Linked DNA regions of Schizosaccharomyces pombe. Changing the gene in region 3 together with the main gene of any one other region gives a genetic interaction. Each region holds a gene or a part of one and is shown on either strand. Other genes may lie near its edges.

Region 1 (5,611 bases), 870 kb from region 3:
TCTCTCAATAAACAACGGAAACCACAAGAAGAAGGGCGCCTGGCACGAATTTTCAAAGATCCGTCTAACAAAGCTTGGAAGGATTTGACGGCTCCTCAAAAAGCATACAGAACTTCTGCTAATATTGGAAATTTTTCGATTGTGATATTTGGAGGCGGCGTTTTCGGATTGATTATATATGCACTTGTCACTAGTATCTGGAAGGGCGAGGCACATTACGGTGATGAAGCTTTTGAACTTTTAAAGGCTAATGAAGAATGTCGATATGTTTTTGGAGATCACATGAAAGCCCTAGGTGAAGCCACGCATCCTCTTCGTCGAACTCATGGTATATTGACTAGTCGTGTGTGGGATCACCATGGTGTAGAACATCTAGTACTACAATTTCACTTAATCGGTAATGAGAGAAAAGGGCACGTATTTGGAAGACTTGTAAATGTTCAAGGTGACTATAAATGGGAATATCTTTTCGTTGATGTTGCAAATTACGGAAAAATCATAATTTTTGATCATACCAATTCTGTACGACAACAACATAAGAATTTTGGTTTATGGGGAAGCTTAAAAAATATTACATGGGGAAATTAGAATTTCCGAATGATAAACGCACGACGGAAAGGTATAGCTGTTAATTTCAACCGAAAAGGAAATCATTGAATTATTTCTCGATTTTAATGGTTTGATTAATGGTTTTTCGCAGAGAATTAATTTTCTAATTTACGAATTAATTTACAGGCGATGTTAATGATTTTTATCAGAATTAGCACACTTAGTTATGCAGTATTTGGATGTATATTGCAAAAAATAAAAAAATCGTCGACACTTTATTACTAATTAAGCGATCGAACCTCATGATTTGTTGTTTAATTAGTTAGTATAAAGAAGCGAATTTGTACGAGGGGCCTTTTCGCAGGGGCTGATTAATCGCCAATCTAATGTACTACCTAAATGTGTTTAGTTATAAAAAATATAAGAATGATTCAAAGCACATGAAATAATTTTGATTATTAGATATAAAGTACAAGATGTAGGCCGGTATTTATAACCGAGTACACTAATCCATATCCAACTAGCAATTAATTATATATTAAATTTTTATAATGACAAAACGCAACGCATTCAAAAAAGATGAAAAAATCTGGTATATAATTTCCAAATAAACAAATTAAAAAAGAAGAAAAACAAGGATAAAATACTTAAGTTTCGACAAAATTAAGCAGCAGTCGAGTCTTCATTATCCGGCAAATTAAACAATCCAAACCATAAATCGTCACCAGTACTAGTATCTTTTAAAAATTTGTCGAAGTCAAAATCATTTAGAAGAGCCGCATCGATGTCTGTTGAATTTCCAACATCCAATAATTGATTGTCTGAAGATTTAGTGGCAACTGTGGTAGACTCCGTAGGTGCAGAAGGAGTCGCGGAAGTATCAGGATTTGATTTTCCTGACTGATTTTGATTATCCAACTCAGAATCGGATTTGTGAACATTTGCTCCTTGCGATGGTTCCAAAGCAGGACCTACACTTGTTGCTTCATTTGTTGATGATTCGGGGTTGGTAGTGTTGACGGTCGGTGCTGGAGTTGGAGCATTTGAATTAGCAGAAGAAGGCTTTTGTTTTGATCGAACGTCCAATGGAGAACTGGCATTTGGAGTGGGTCGCGATGAATGAGTTTGTTGTAATTGCCAATTCCCCATAACGTCCATTCCATTGTCCGCATTATTTGTGTCAGAGGTAGATGAGTTTTCAATCAGATTAGAATAGTTTGATGGATGATCACCTGATGTACGTAAAGGAAGACCATTTTGTAACATAGGCATATTTGACTCATTGATGCCATTAAGATTTTCAGTAGTATTACTATTTTTTGTTGAGACCTTTACAGGAGATGTGGTGGCTTCTGTAGGAGTGTCAGTAGATTTAGGAGTAGTGCTTTTGGTTTTTGCAACACTAGATTCAGTAATAGTCTGAGAAAGCGGTCTATCAGGCGATGCCGATGTGTACCCTTTTCTTTCTTTTTCCTGACTAACTAACAGAAGCCTCTTTTTATTCTGTTGTTCTAGTAGCTTTAACTCCTCCATATAATTCTTGAGAGCTGGGTTTAGACGACTGGGGTTTGCGTTTCCGTTAAAATTATATAGCATATTTTGAGAGTAAGGAGAATTAGAGAATCCGTATTGGTTCATTTGATTTCCAGAAAATTGCCCAGTTGAAGGCTGTTGAGCAGGTTTAGGTTTGTCTAAAGATTTCTGTTGTTGAGGAAGGGTAGAAGAAGGTACTGCTCCTCCTTGTTTGAGATGTGGATTTCTGTTTGAAGCAAAATTTATCTCGTGAAGCAATGGTTGAGCAGAGTTTTGAACAACAGGGTATTGTCCTCCGTTAAGACCAGTGGTATCGTACAACGGATTCGACTGGGGAACGGAACCATTAGGAGTTGCCGGTAAACTAGGGCGAAATTGAGCATTAGATGGAGCACCTTCTGTTTTGGGTGAAGAAGGGATGGATCGAAAATCGGAAATTGGACCTTGCTGCTTAGGTGGATGTGTATCGTGAGTTGTAGGTTGAGAAGTCGTGTTTTGCATTTGTGGGGTAGAACCACTTTGTGGAGTTTTCTTTTGCTGGTGCTGCTTTTGTTGTTGTTGCACAGATTGTAGCTGCCTGTAGTGTAATTGTTTTAATTGTTGAAGTTGAGCAGCGGTCGGGGGAAACGTTTCACGGCTTTGATTATTTAGCATAGCTTGCCGCATTAAGTGCTGATTTCTATCGTTCAATCCACCTGCCCCTTGATGAAACTGAGATGAGTCAATCTGCTGACCCATTGCGTTGGCAGGATCATGGGGAAATGAGGCGTTTGCATAAGGGTGAGAAGTATTTCCAGTGTGTAGAGAGTTTTTTTGAATTTCTTGCAAATTTAAACGAGATTTCTTCCTAAGATTGCTAATATGAGACATATACGCCTTTGCCGGCTCAGATCCTTGACCCCGACGAGCATTGTAAATATCCCAAAAAACATTCCACCACTCGATTAAAAAACCACCAGCTGAATCGATAGGCAAAATAGGAGGTGGCGGCGGAGCAGAAGAAGAAGAAAAGGAATCTAAATTACCGTTATTTACATTCATGTTTTCATCCGAAGATTCATTATTACTTATACCTTCATGCTTTACAGCAACAGGAGACATTCTTTTGTGACGCTTAGCTAAGGAATTGGTTTCTTCTTGACTTCTGACGAGCGTTTGTACTTGTGCTTCACGGCCAAAAGCTCGGGCTGCCTCACAATAATCCTTCTTGATTAAATAATCATATATGTACGAATTCAGTAAGGATTGTGTGGTCCTATCGGCATTATTTACGTGCGGTTGTTTTTGATCTTTTTGTAAATCATGTTTCTGTCCTTGCTGGCTTGGCAATCCGACGCCGGACCTTAAACCTGGATCAGCCATAAACTAGAAATGTGCAGAAGTTAGGTGTTGCGAACGAGAATATGGATCTACAACGATGCACGCTGGCGATATATAATTTTAAAGATCTGCGCACGCTATACTACCGCAACATTTTGTATATCATATTTTCATTTTAGTTTTCTATCAATTACTGAAAATCATAAAATCATAAATGTTATGTTTGAATTTAGTTACAGAGTAAATCAAAACCCTTGAAGAGTAAAACTCTATAGAGGTTTCTTATTTTCCAAGGCAAGTCATGCTCTAAAAACATTTTTAATAATAGTTATTATGTATATATTCGGATTTGAATTATCTAAAATGGGCTATATTAAAATATGGTTCTAAGATGATATACTTTCAATGAATCAACCAGTGGTAATTTCAGATTTTATATATGCAAACTTACTAACTGAAAACTGTGGAATTAAGGGATAGGTGGGTTTAGAAAGTAAATGTAAATTGATATTTCTTCATCCGTAAAAACATCATAATGAATTAAGAATACTATTAGCCGCAGTTTTTTGTAAGAATGCTGTAATTATGTAGATAGTATCAATTATTCTTGTTTTATTTACCTTGCCTTGGAAAATATACATATCTACAGCTTTTTACATAAGTTAGCGATGTAAATACTAAGCACTGGAACTCATATTATCATTTTCTAAAGTTGTTAGAAATGCTTTTAGTAGTAAAGATTTTGGAATGTGTTCACTATTCGAAAACTAGTTGCAAATTGTGTTTTTCAGTAAATCAAGCAAGATGCTTAATTTTGGCACTACAAGTTTTTAGAAAGTACTTACATGAAGATTGGAAGCTTTGCGTAAATTTGTTTAGTTTCACATATTCCACATTTTAGTTTTCTATAATTCATTTTTTATCAAGTAGAAAATTTAGTTTCTCTCTTTCATTGCAAATGCTATAATCCGGCTTTAGAACTACTATCTACTGGATAATCCTTTATTATTGCCATGCTAGATTCCCTGTAGAATTATGGATTTTGATATTAATCAAAAATTAATTTCTTAAAGTACAAATATATTCGACGGGAGAAAGTTTATGAAATTTTGTATGCGGTTATACCTAATCAGTGATTATCTCGTTGTTTATATTTCAATTTTTGAGGCGACTAGAATAGACAATTCAGCCCAGAAAACCGTACATACAATTTTTAAGTAGAAAAATTTGTTAATAACTATACCCAAAAAAAATGTGATTACGCATCTTTAGCTAATGGCAAAATGCTTCTCAAGTGTTTTTGATGGTGGTAAAATCGAGATAGACTAGATATTAAAGCCGCTCGTTAAATATTATAAGACATTAATTGATACTAGTGTTTTTCCTCAAGCACAAACAAGGTCTGTATATAGTATACGGAATAGATATTTCTTACAATTTATTTATACTGTTTAAACGAATTTTAAATGGCTTCCATGAGAAGGGTAAATTTTTAGGGATTTTGCCTGTAATCAAAATGTTGTTCATATAAATTCTACTTTAAGTCCTGTTTATAGGAATGAGCTCATCATTCCTCGTTATTTGAACACCAAAGAAAAGTCCGATTTATTGGTATTTTGGTTGTGACAGAAACCCCTGCGACGATTGTCGATCCGTTTTATATATTTTCCACTCCCGTCCCTGCTATTCATTTTACGTTCTAATTCTGAAAACTGTCAATCAGAAATTGCAGTTATTATATATAGTAAACTGGAAATGGATAAACGAAAGGAATCGGAGAGTGCGACTAATGGACATTTAGTATGTTCGATTGCTAAAAAAACATGCACTAATATAAATAGGTTAAAAGAATTAGAATCCAAGATTCTAGCTTAATAACGGAGGGTTCTGTATTGCAACGAACATCTGATCTCAATGTTCCAAACCTACAGATGTTTGGGCATACGGTATGGTTGTATTGAAATAAATCATACTAACGCTTTAGGCTGAAGTTTTAGTCGCCAGGTTCGATCCTTCTGGATCATACTTTGCTTCTGGCGGTATGGATAGACAGATACGTAAGTGCAGCTGTAATTAAAATGTTGATTTATAATAACTGTGGTTTAGTTCTTTGGAATGTGTTTGGTGACGTTAAAAACTACGGAGTATTAAATGGCTGCAAGGGAGCCATAACTGATTTACAGTGGAGCAGGGATTCACGCGTAGTTTA
Region 2 (6,744 bases), on a different chromosome or scaffold from region 3:
CAAAAACCCGAAAGCTGAGTGAAACAGCAAACAATGAAACAACGAAATAAAATCTTTCAAGTGTCTAAACAACACTTCACATCGTTCAAGCAATTCGCCGACACCCAAATATACTGTAGCTCACGAGTTGTACAGTGAATGAGGAAACTCTTAGTAAATAAATCGTTAAATTATACAAATAAAAGAAGGGTGTTTTCTCGTCAGCCAAGCAAGAGCCCTTATACTTTTTGTCTTAATATATACAACACACTAAGATAAACGTTACGCTTAAATCTCTCAAGTAGTTGAATCGACTTCAGCTACTTGTCATTCAACTATCTCAGGAAGTTGCGTTTGGGAATAAGTAGAGGCGTTCATTCTTCAGGTATATATACAACGTCTACGTATTCAATCATTTTAAAAAATTATACTACCTCGGAGTAAATTATTTCAAAGCGTCCGAGGCGTAGACGTCGGAGTTGAACAAACCGATAAAATCTTGAAGATAACCCCGAAGTCCGAATGCTCTGATCTATTCCATGTGCGCCTCTAGCATTCGATATTGTTGAAAGTTGATGTGAATAGAGTGTTATATCGCACGCTTCATCTGATCACCTAATGCCATGGTTAGAAGATCTCGTTATGCTGACAAAACATGGTGGTAGTATTCCACTGCACTATAGCTAAGATGGTAGGATCTCGATAGTAGTTATAAAGAAGAAATGAGAATGTTCTAAACTGCATATGTAATCGTCCACGTTTTGCCTTGAATTAATAATTTGCATCTCAAGAAACTCAAGTCAGGCTTGGTACAGTGAAGTGGGTGATTGCAATCATCAAGGCTATTAATGCTGGGCTGAATATAGTACAATACATTTAATACATTATACATTCAATACATTCATACAAACGATACTTACGGCATTTTGCACAACCTAATGTGTAAATAAACCTGAAAAGGTTTTAAATGAGTTTGATTTGACATCTCCTTCTATAAGCTCTAGTAAACTTCGATGACAAAACGACGCTCTTCCTTCCATTGTTCAATGATCTTGCGAGCATCGACTGGCTCATCATAACTGCTCTGGATCACTTCCTCTAAAACACTGGTGATCTCGGGCAAGGGCCATGTAGGACCACACAAGTAAAAGGAACCCCCCTCATCCATAAGAGCCTTCTTTAACATGTCTTTGGTAGATCGCATAACATCTTGGATATAGATTTTGTAGGGTTGATCACGACTGAAAGCTTGTCCAATATGCGTCAATAGATTGGCGGAATGATAAGCCTCCCAATCCTCACCATACAGATACTCTTCTCTTTGAGTACGGGAACCCAAATATAACAAGATGTCACCAGATTCGATTCCCTGCATACGTTGCCATTCTTTGAATTGCAAAAAGGCACGGAATGGTGCTAAACCAGTTCCCAAACCTGCCATGACAATTGGCTTCAAGGGGGACGTGGGCAACTTCATGACAGAAGTCTTGACAGCAACGCAAAGAGGTTCGCCCACCTTCAAATTGGAAAGATAGTGCGAGCATTGGCCATAGCGATCACGTCCCATACCATCCTTCCAACCAACCACGACAACCAGCAAATGAACACTGTCATTGTGCTTCTTTTGAGAAGAAGAAATGGAATACTCACGACGCTTAATGACTGGTACGATTTGTGCGATTTGTGCAGCAGTCAGCTTAGCATGCTTAAACTCTTTCAATACATCAGCATAGGTAAGCATATCTACTTCAGCACGACGCTTGAAATCAGGAGCTCCAGCAGGGCTAATTAAAATCTGCAGATCGGCACGCTCCTTCTCATCAGTCTCGAATTCAAGCAGTTGCTCATGGAATTTTTTAGTGGGTTTACCAAAAATGTCAATGTTCTGACAAAGTGCTTGGAAAACTGTGCGTGTTTCCCAATGACCAGGATGTTGAATGGACGGGACGTGGATAAGCTCGTTAGCATCTAATCCGTATTCCTCAATGAAATCATGAACGTGAGTTTTATTGTTAACACCGTAAACACCCAAAGCTTCACCAATGTCATAGGTGAGCCCACTGTCGCCAAGGTCGAATTCGATGTGGAAAATATTACGGTTATACTCGGCGGGCGTAAGACGTTTGTTAGCTCTCACGTGAACAGTAAAGACCTTCTCCGAAACGTCAGGACGAAGGGCGTCCTTCTTTTTGTAAGCCTCGGGGAAGATGATCTGCTTGGCCACTGTCTGCCAGTTGGAAGATTGAGGGGTGATATCCTCATCTAAAGTCTTCACAGCGTTGGGAGCAAACGAAGTTTCCTTCGCGGTACTTGGCAACTCCTTCTCCGAGGGCTCGCGATCCTTCAAAGCCGAGGCGTCTAAATTAATGAACGAGAGAGATTGCTTAAGTGAGTCAACAGCATCTTTCAAATTCGTGTCAGTTAAATTATTTTGCTTAGCCAAAACAGCCAAAGCCTCGTCAACACCTAAACCAGGCTTGACGAGTTGAATAAATGAAACCAACAAAGGCAAGTTCGAGGCATCGATGGCAAACTTTTTGGGATCAATAAGCACTAATTTCACTCCTTTCTCCAAAGCATCAGCGATAAATTCGTATGGAAGTTTCTTAGTTGCTTCATCTGGTGCGATGGAGGACTGTAATAAACAAATAGAATGTTCAGCAGCCTTGGCGAGAACACGATAATGTAAAGGAAGTCGATCAGTAGTTAAAATAGTAATATCAGCATCAACATCTTTAACAACATCTGTTAAAACAGCGTTGGCCGTAGAAACTTGGGCAACGGTAAAACGGACGCCAGCCAAGGTCAAGTTGTCAAACAAAGGACGGAAGGCAACAGATCTCGATTTATCGGTTCTATAGGCAGAAACTAACGAAAGCACCAAGGAATCACCGACATCAGATTCCCAAACGTTGATGCTCTTATCAACATGAACAGCTTTGGGAGTAGCAGCTTTCAATTGCAGGGTCTCGTGAAGAGCATCAAAGAGAGAGCTCAAGGTGACGGACTCTACTAAGGAGTAGCGATGCTCGGAAATAGCAAGCGCTGAAGGTTTAGTGCTCAACAGTGTAGCAAGTAGGAAGGAATAGTAGATGGAAGAAGTTCCGACAGCGGTAGAGCGAACCTGGGAAAGAACAACAAGAGATTTGCAAGTAGTGGGAAGAACATTGAAAATGTTTTCAGCAACAAAAGGGAAGATACGGATAGAAAGAACGCCCACATCAGGATTGGCAGCCAAAAGGGCGCGAGCAGCGACGGTTTCAGACTTCCCAAAAGTTACAATAACCTTAGAAGCGGTTTGAGATCCGTAATACTCGGCTGGAGCATACGAAGTGTTAAAGTAATCGTTGACATGCTTCAAAGCCTTGGAAGCGTTGGAGACAGGATCAGCTTCGGATTGGTAAGAGTTGAAGCACTCAACCACGGCGTTGGAATCGAGAAGAGGAAGGCTGGGATCAGTTGTGGTGACAATGGCATCCGGCTCATACACATGAATGACAGGAGCAGCCTTGGCAGCCAATGTACTGGCCAAAGCGAGGTGAGCAGCCTCGACATTAGATTGCGAAGCGAAAACGGTGAAGTTGTTGGCGTAAGAAAAGTCTAAAACACTCACGTTATCAGCGCAATAGGTTTGTTCGAGGTAGGCCAAAGCTGCGACATGAACAACAAGAGGCTTACTAGCTCCATAGAAAGGAATAATATTAGAAAGCAAGGGGTTCAAAAGCGATAAACAGCTGGAAGGTGTCATCATGGAGTAGACACCAGGAGAAGAGATTGCTGCAGTGTAAGAGCCCAACAAGAAAGCGGAAGCGCCAGAGCGAGCCTCCAAATTGAAAAGTTCAACATTGTTGGAAAATCCGTTTCTGCGACCAGAGTTGTTCCACTGAGTCAAATAACGGTTCAAAGGAACGTGTTCCGCGTAAGAAAAGATACGGTTGGAAAGAGAATAAACAATATCTTCAATGATTTTGTGCGAAACATCGAATTTCGCAACTTGATCGGAAGAATCAGTAGCAACCATTTTGAACCAACAAATCAATGATTAAACGGAAGAAAATAATTAAAGAAATTTAAAATTTTGATTAACAAAACGTTTCAAAAAATTAAATAATATTTAATGAAAAGGAATGTTGAACCCCAAAAAAGAAACCAAAAAATCCAAATGTATGGAGAAAAGTGTCAAACCAAAATTTTTCGTTTTGACGAGCTTTCCAAAAAAAAAAAAAAAAAAGAAACAAGTATGCTTTTATTCGCTAAAAAGTTAGAAATCTGTTTCTTAATTAAGATACAGCTTTAGATTCAAAATTTCGCCAAAAAAATTAACCGTTAAACGTTTTAAAATTTTGGTGTATTTTTTTCTAGTTAAACTGTAGATATAAATGTTCAGTTGCAAATGCCTAAAATTCCTACCAAACGTGGAATTTACACCTAAGCAAAGTACTGGGATATTTAGGTATACTTGGTAAAGAGTAAAATTGAGAATTTAACAAATAAATAAACCAGTTCGGAGAGCTACTGCTTGCGTGATTGCGCTTGTGTATCACACCAATTGTTGCTACTTTAAAGCGACATAATCGCTTAATTTAAAGGTATAAACAACGTATTCTTTCAATAGCTCGTTATTCTTATTAAGGATAATGGAGGTGCTTTTTCTTACTGTAATTAAAGAATTGTTTGATGTCAGCAATACTACACTACGCTATAATACACTACGTTGCGTATCACTATATGTCACATGTTCTAATTATATATAGTACCATGTATGATACGATATTGAGATTGATCTTAATGATAATCTATCAAGATCTATATTATCTGAATAATATAAATAGAGCTACTGCTGAACCTCGTTCCTCAGTTCAGTTATAAGCTATATTAGTGATAGGTAACATTATAACTCAGTTAATACAATACCTATACTCAGTTGCTACTTATACAACCTGTGTATTGTAATATAATAGATCACAAGGAAAACTCACCGCAGTTCTACGTATCCTTAAATCAGATACCAAACTGCGTAGCTTACATTTGAAGGGATTTAACAACATAATGGAATGTAGTTGACAGATGTGACGTTGTATATCTTTGAACAGGTATACAGAGATTTACGGATACCCAGACGATAAATAACGACCGTTGGGGTTAGCAGTTTTATTCTCATCAAATTAAGAAAATGTGTGTGCAAGGTAGTTATTGTTTTTATAAGGTTTTCTAAATTTCAATACTTTTAGTAGTCTCATCTTGTAGCAATCTGATCAGAAAGACATTATCATCTTTCGCATTCTGAAAAACATGAAATAGAATGTCAAGTGAATTTGAGTAAAGAACCGCACGTATTGATGTGTTCGATTTCAGCAACGTACTTGATTTTAGAAGCTCCATTATATGATTTTAGTTTAGCTAGTTAGTTTTATCTCCAGAAAATTGACAGGTATTCAATATTTACTGATTTATTCATAGTGCGCTAAATGCATCTAAGTACTGTGCTGTAATTATGTTCATTATACCCAGTATATCAGCATCTAGCAGCAAATATACATTTATGTAAATACATTTACATTTCAAATAGTAGCATCTCCAAATCGTCACAAATTGTAGAATTTACATATCTTTTTTTAAAATACTGAACGTTCCTTAATTTGATGAAATCACTTCGTCTACATTTCTATTATGTGACAATATTTGTAGGTAGCAAATATTCAAATTGATTAAAAGATTTTTTGAAATCGAAAAAAATTGTGAGTTTAATCATACCTTTCTGAAAGAAATATTTCAATTTTTTTTAAAAAAATTTGAAGGGTCTGACAAGCCTACCTCATTTTACATTTACTTTCATTTAATTATTTTTTTAAACCTGACATTAAAACAAAGTAACTCGATATAACCCTGAAAAATAATAATCAATTAAAATAAATGAGCAATCAATAAAAAAGTTATTATGTCTTTAGGTTGCAAACTTTTAAGCTGTTTTGTAATCTGAAAATCATATATGTTATAATATAAAGTAGTATATTAACAAAATCCAGTCTTTATAGCATCTGGTACCTTTTGCAAACAAAAGTTATTTAACAAGTTTAGAGTGCAGAAAATCGCAAAACTGCTTAGAGAATTGACGCAATCATAAAAACATAGAATGAAATCGCCTCGAGGAAAAATCACAATTTGATCAGTTTGCACACTCATTAAATCAAAATTATCTTTTCTACGAAATTGTGCTCAAAAACATTGAACATAGTGATTTAATACCTTCCTATTTTGTATGTTATTGTTGGTTAGTGTCAATAAGTTGATGTATTTGTTTATCCCATAATATGTAAACAAATGTCCATAGCTAGAGCTTATAAATAATTTATGCCAGCACTCAAACTTTTGACAAACAACAAACATTGGAAATATTTAAAAGTAAAGTATATTATTTTAAAACACTTAGCTGTTCGTCTTGTCTTCTATTAATATCCGTTGTGCAATTCTTCTGGATCAGAAAGCTAAAGCAGAGACGAGGAAAAAGGAATTTGGGAAAAAGCTGTCATTTACAATTTATCAACCTAAAGGAAGAGAACGTATAAGAGGAATTTATTTAAAACGTTCCTCGACTAGCTTATTTACTCGAATCCTACTTGTCTTCTTTTCCCTTAATCACAAATACCTTCAATCATGATCATTATTGACGGTAAGAATTATGCTTGGTAAGACTTTTTGTATGGTTATAAGATAAAATTTTTAACACTTACTCTAGTGTTGTATGCCTTCGAGGTCATCGAGGCT
Region 3 (5,630 bases):
TATAAAGCATTCGTTTTGTATTGACAAATTTTTCAATTACCTTGGGTAGGTGAATTATTTTTGGGCATATGACATCAGAACGCGTTGAACAATTAAGTTCACTTTGACAAAAATACAGATTTTTTATCACTACACGTCGTTTACTTTATATTTTACTTCATCTTATTACAAGGTTACTCTGTAATTGTAACGTTTGACGAAGCCCATAATCCAATCCTCTTTTTCGTTGCAGAGGAAAATAAGGAAGAGTAAGTACGTAAAGCCTACGAAAAGAAAGAGAAATATAAAAAAGTATACGTTTGTCAGTGCAATATTGAATGGTAAGTTTATTAATTGTTCCACTCATCGACTAAATAATAAAGTAGAAAGACGAGACATTTATGTGTATGCTAGAACACACTGGAATCCATTTGTTCACGAGTTGTTCTCGTAATAACATAATGATTGGTATTGCCGTGTGTGAATGCCAGTGATTATTGATGTTTGAAAGACTACAACTGATAAAAAGATAGTTGCACTAGTGATAAAAGTCTGTTGAAATTGGTATGCTCTAAAAGTCATTTGTACTTGAGTAAGCAGTCATATGCGTGTTGGCTATCCATCTGTTTGACTTGTTTGAAAATAATACACATGGGTTATGCTTTTCACAAGAAAGTAGAATAATTGATTCCTACATCTGCATCATCCATATCGATCGGTAAAGTATACTTTATCCTACGAATTGGTTTCATAGTTAAATCACTCCTCTGCTTAGCAGCTCCGCATCCCCTTCGTGTACTAGCCAATCTCATCGACATCGACAAATTGACTTCACCTGAGTTAAGCATACTTAATTCAACTTAACGAAGTGCAACCCACCACGACTGACCTCTGTAATCTCGGAAAACGGATAAGACGGTTCAGTACGTTCGCTAGTAAGAAGCATGCATGCAAAGGTACAAGAGCAGGCTTCCCATGCAAACTGAGAAAATAATCCCTGAAGAATTGCTAGTAAGCCAAATTGCAGCGCCTCCAAACATCCTTCTATTAAGGACCAGAAAGAATGATGCTGATGACTAATTTTTGGGTTATGCAAGAAGCATCTGGCATTTTCTTTAACTTCTCCACGAATAAGGAGAAGGTCACACGACGGAAGCGTGGAATAATGATGAGTTTGATCGTCGGTAAACTCCCCCAGAGTAGCGAAGATCATCGGCATCGAAAGAAAGAAGGGAAGGAAAAAAAAAAGTAAAAACGACTTGATGAATTCCGTGATCATGTAGGGTAACGGAAGACGAGATTACCGAGTTTAAGTAAGCAATCGAGGTCTGCATTGCGATGCCGATATGGTGATCGGGAACATGAAGCACTTGATTGACTTGAACATGTAGGGAGGAAATTTTTTTAGCGTTTTTAGACTTTTCATTTAGCTGCTATCTTAGGAGTAGCGTGACACGGCGCAAACGAAAAACAAGACATTTGTTGTACCAAACATCCTCAATTCCATCGCATCTCTAAAGTACGAGTAACTAGAGTAAGATGCAAATCAACGTCGTGATATGACCTAAAAGTATCGTGGACTTGATTCATCCTTCAATCTCATCTTTCCCCGACTCCGCCTCTTCATTTTGACCTCATTCTATGATTGCTTTTGGAATGAAGCTTGCAGCGTATTCCTTCATTAGTGCGTTATGACTAACCGCGATATATAAGGTGATTTAAGTACTGGAAGCTCGCTTTCCATATGAGAGGACAGCGTAGAGCGCAAGTCGCAGATTGAAGGAATGTAATTGGGGTTCGCTTACACATTACGCGCTTTTATTTGAAAAGAACGAATCAGCAGCACTGCCAGCGCATTCTGACATTTCCATGCTACTTCATTGGCGGCCTCTGATTGGCTCAATCAATGTAAAACGACGTCAATTGCTAACCAATGTTGTTTGACAAGGGTGGTTTTTTCAATCAGACGCTTGACGTCATTCTTTATATATACATTGCCTCGCGCATCTTTGCTGGGTAGTATGGACACTACAAACAACACATATGCAAGATCAATTTCTAGTAATGGGAACGATAACTTTCCCACTCCAGATTGGCAATTTAATGGATCCCAATTGCAACAAAATCGTAAATCCAAAATGAATGGTCGCTCTGTGACTAATGTATTTCCGAATGCATTCTCGGATGCTGAATTCGAGCAAATCTCGATGCCCGAACTCAATTTAAAGCGTTTTAACCCTACTACGTTAGAAGAAAATAACTCAGATTTATCTGATATGTCCTCCTGGGACTATATGATGAACGTTCCCATTCGTGTCTACAACGATGCTGACACAATGGACCCCTTCTCCCTCGACACTATTCCCGATTCCTCGATGGACATGCCATTTGATCCCTTAGCATCTGACTATGGTAACGCTGCTAACTTTCCAAGTGTCCCTTCGTCCCTTGGCAGCAATCATCAATTTATCACCACACCTCCTGTCAACGGGTCGAACGAACCTACCTCGGCTCAAACGAATCACATTATTACTGCTAACAGTTCCCCCAGTGGAAATGCTGGGAGTAACGCATCTGCAAGCATGTCCGTCCCTCCTCCTCTTACTCCATCTGCTTCCACCATTAATGACCAGCCCTTCTCCAACTCTTTCGATTTACCTAGTCAGGTGATTGCTGATGGCACTGGCGCGATTTCCGACATCAACGGTAATCCATTTCCCATGAATTCTCCACCTTTGGATATGGAACCGTTGCCCTCGATATCCATGGATGCAAGTGACTCTGTCTCCGAACAACTTGTAAAGGACGCCTCTCTTCCTAGTGGTCCTTTTTCAACCGATTATTTGGAGAATGGAAGTGACTTAAAAAGGTCACTGGGTCACAATCAAAAGTCAGACAGAGTCTCAAAAGATGTCTCACCTCAACACCAAGCAAATCCCTCTACCCTTAACAATCCTCTCAAGACCCAAAATTTTGATTCCTCTAAGAACCTTTATACCGACAACAAGGATTCCTCCCTTGTATCTCCAACGGGACTTCAATCCCGTATGGAACAAAATCCGGAAGTGCGGGCGCATCCTATGAAGGACTCGGCGACGAGCACTGCGTTACGCCGTTCTCATGCTCTGGGAGCTGCTGCTGACTCTCTTCTTCCTCAAGAAAACTCCGCTCAGATATATGATGGGAAGGATGTATCTATGGTCAATGATAACATGCACTCCGATGTTCGGCAGGACAGCTTCAATAAAGAATCTATTAAACAACGCATCCCTTCTTTGTCTCCTCCGATAACGCGATCATACAATGCCAAGCATCGCCCCTCCTTGGTGCTTGGTACGTCGGTAAATCCACATTCACTTTCTCCTTCACAGCCTCCTGTTGTCGTACCTTCAAATACTACGATCAGCTCCTCTCCTCCACTCACTTCTCCTGTTAAAACCTCTGCTAATATACCTAACTTATTACCGACTTCAGAGTTAGACAGTTCCAACGCTCCTCACTCTCAATCGGCTGCTACTCATGACCTAAATGACGTTAAGTCGTATTACAATACTAGGTCTTCTCATTCCGTGGTACCTAATCCAACCAACCAAAAAGTAAGCATCACCGGTGCTGCTGCTGATGGCCCCAACGGATCTGCTCCTGTTGACACCACTCCTACAAATTCTTCTACTACTGCTACGGGTGCTCAGAGGAAGCGTAGGAAGTTTAAATTTGGTAAACAAATTGGTCCAGTTCGGTGTACTCTTCAGAACAGAGTTACAGGAGAAATTTGTAACACAGTGTTTTCTAGGACGTATGATTTGATCCGTCACCAGGATACGATACATGCTAAGACACGACCTGTATTTCGATGTGAGATTTGTGGCGATCAACGCCATTTCAGTAGACATGATGCCTTGGTTAGGCATCTCCGTGTGAAACACGGTAGATAAATTGAAAGGAGTCTCTTCTGCCACAAATATTAAAAAAAGGTTATTGCATTATCTATTGTCATTTTTCACCTCTTACGCTTCTTCATTGATTCCTTGTTTATGAATTTTAAAAAAAGTTGCATTTTGCTAATTATTTTCAAGAAAAAAATTGGTACCGTTATTATTTCACAGCCCTTTTGAAAGTGCTTTTTCCTTTGTCTCCTTTCATGTACATTTATCATCTTAATTTTGCCTCTTCATTTCATCGTATCCTCAAGCTTCATGTGTAATTTCAAACCCCTTCTCCGTCTAACGGTTTCCTTTTTTATTTTGGACGGTCATAAGTGTTTTTATATTTTGTTTTCATTTTTATTGGGATTGGTTAATATTGTTTTTTTTTTCTTACCAAGTTACTGTTAAATGTTAATAAAAAATTTTGTGTGTTTTCACCTTAAATTGAATACCTATCATGTAATTTGATTTAGTTTTACATACTTAAATTTTAATATTAGTAAGTAGTATTTGTAATTTAGAAATATTTTTTCTGCCGGTATTAATTATTATTGTTTTTCAGTTATGTTAGGTATAGACGCGGCCTCTAGCAATCAAAGACGGTGGATCAAGGTCTGTAGTAAATCGATCAATCCATAGGTTACCTGTCTCTGAGATACATATGCGTAGTGGTTGATTGACAAACGCGGGAGATAATAATCGAAACTCAAATCTTTTCATGTTCTTTGACATTTGGGGATAAACAGAACGAAAGTACTCTAACATACTAGTCACTAGAAGAGGACCTGGAAGAACGAGATTTGGATAATTTTCGGACTTTGTAGCGTATGTCGCATTCCAATGGATCATATGAGCATTAAACATTAATGCTGAATAGCGAAACACCATAATAGGTGTAGGTGTGAATACCCAAGAGTGTTGTGGAATACTTTTGCTACGTAAAGTTTTTGGTATAGCCAGTTCTTGTCGATTTAAATAGGCTAATGTTCTATCTTCCTCGATACATAATTGATGCTGACTGTCGTAAATTTTTCTTCGAATATATACATGCTTTGTCTGTTTTTCTGAAGTAGGCTTTGTTAGAAAAGAACTTTTTGGAAGACAAGCTTCAACTTCTTTTGTAATTGATGGAGATTTCACAGATTCTTCCTGAATCAATTCATGACATTCCGAAGTTTGGAAAAGATGTAAAGGTCTATGAAAACGAAGGACTCCATGTAACCATATTCGGCGCTTAAAAGAAAAAGGATTATTTGGCTTTGGGGAATAAAGACTTTCATATCCATCTGAATTCAAATTTGATTCAGGAGATGCTAAAGAGAAAAAAAGAAAATGGTAACCAGGCTGTAATGATGTTATTTTAGCATCCATTGTTATGCAACTAACAGGCAAATGACCACTTAAAGTAGCTTTTAACTTATCAATTGGCGCTTGAGATAAGAAATCCTTTAAAACGACCTTTGCTGACATCGATGATTACTTTCTGAAACGCTTTGCACATTGACTTTTCAAGTAGGCAATTTATCAATACTGAAGGTGATCTATTAGAAATTATTATAAATTAGCCGAAGCAATTATCCCTAAGAAGACCTCAACTTTTAAAATCGGAAAGGACAAATCTTTGAAGCAATAAGCTCTTAATTTTATGGAACCTAATAACTTTAACAGCTACACATTACTAATTGCTTTTGGCACGACCCAAATTGCTTAAGGTATACGTGTAAT

Evidence for each region. Genes that interact genetically often act in the same process or in processes that back each other up.
Region 1: mutations in rsv2 (region 3) and adn2 together harm fitness more than expected from each alone (negative genetic interaction), as found in Schizosaccharomyces pombe (one large-scale study listed by BioGRID).
Region 2: mutations in rsv2 (region 3) and met10 together harm fitness less than expected from each alone (positive genetic interaction), as found in Schizosaccharomyces pombe (one large-scale study listed by BioGRID).

The regions. Positions count from the first base shown.
Region 1 is NC_003423.3:4,399,404-4,405,014, forward strand, and holds adn2 (transcription factor), read right to left. Parts: upstream 3,467-5,611; 5' UTR 3,445-3,466; coding exon 1,213-3,444; 3' UTR 980-1,212; downstream 1-979. Other genes in the region: TIM23 translocase complex subunit Tim21, read left to right, coding at 1-588; U5 snRNP complex subunit Spf38, read left to right, coding at 5,158-5,202, 5,244-5,348, 5,387-5,459, 5,509-5,611. UniProt on the Schizosaccharomyces pombe protein: Probable transcriptional regulator involved in cell adhesion.
Region 2 is NC_003421.2:1,525,493-1,532,236, forward strand, and holds met10 (sulfite reductase NADPH flavoprotein subunit), read right to left. Parts: upstream 4,444-6,744; 5' UTR 4,001-4,443; coding exon 980-4,000; downstream 1-979. Other genes in the region: Cu metalloregulatory transcription factor Cuf2, read left to right, coding at 6,634-6,665, 6,716-6,744.
Region 3 is NC_003423.3:3,530,931-3,536,560, forward strand, and holds rsv2 (DNA-binding transcription factor Rsv2), read left to right. Parts: upstream 1-1,997; 5' UTR 1,998-2,000; coding exon 2,001-3,914; 3' UTR 3,915-4,358; downstream 4,359-5,630. Other genes in the region: SPOM_SPBC1105.13C (uncharacterized protein), read right to left, coding at 830-1,258; 3-hydroxyacyl-ACP dehydratase Htd2, read right to left, coding at 4,473-5,375.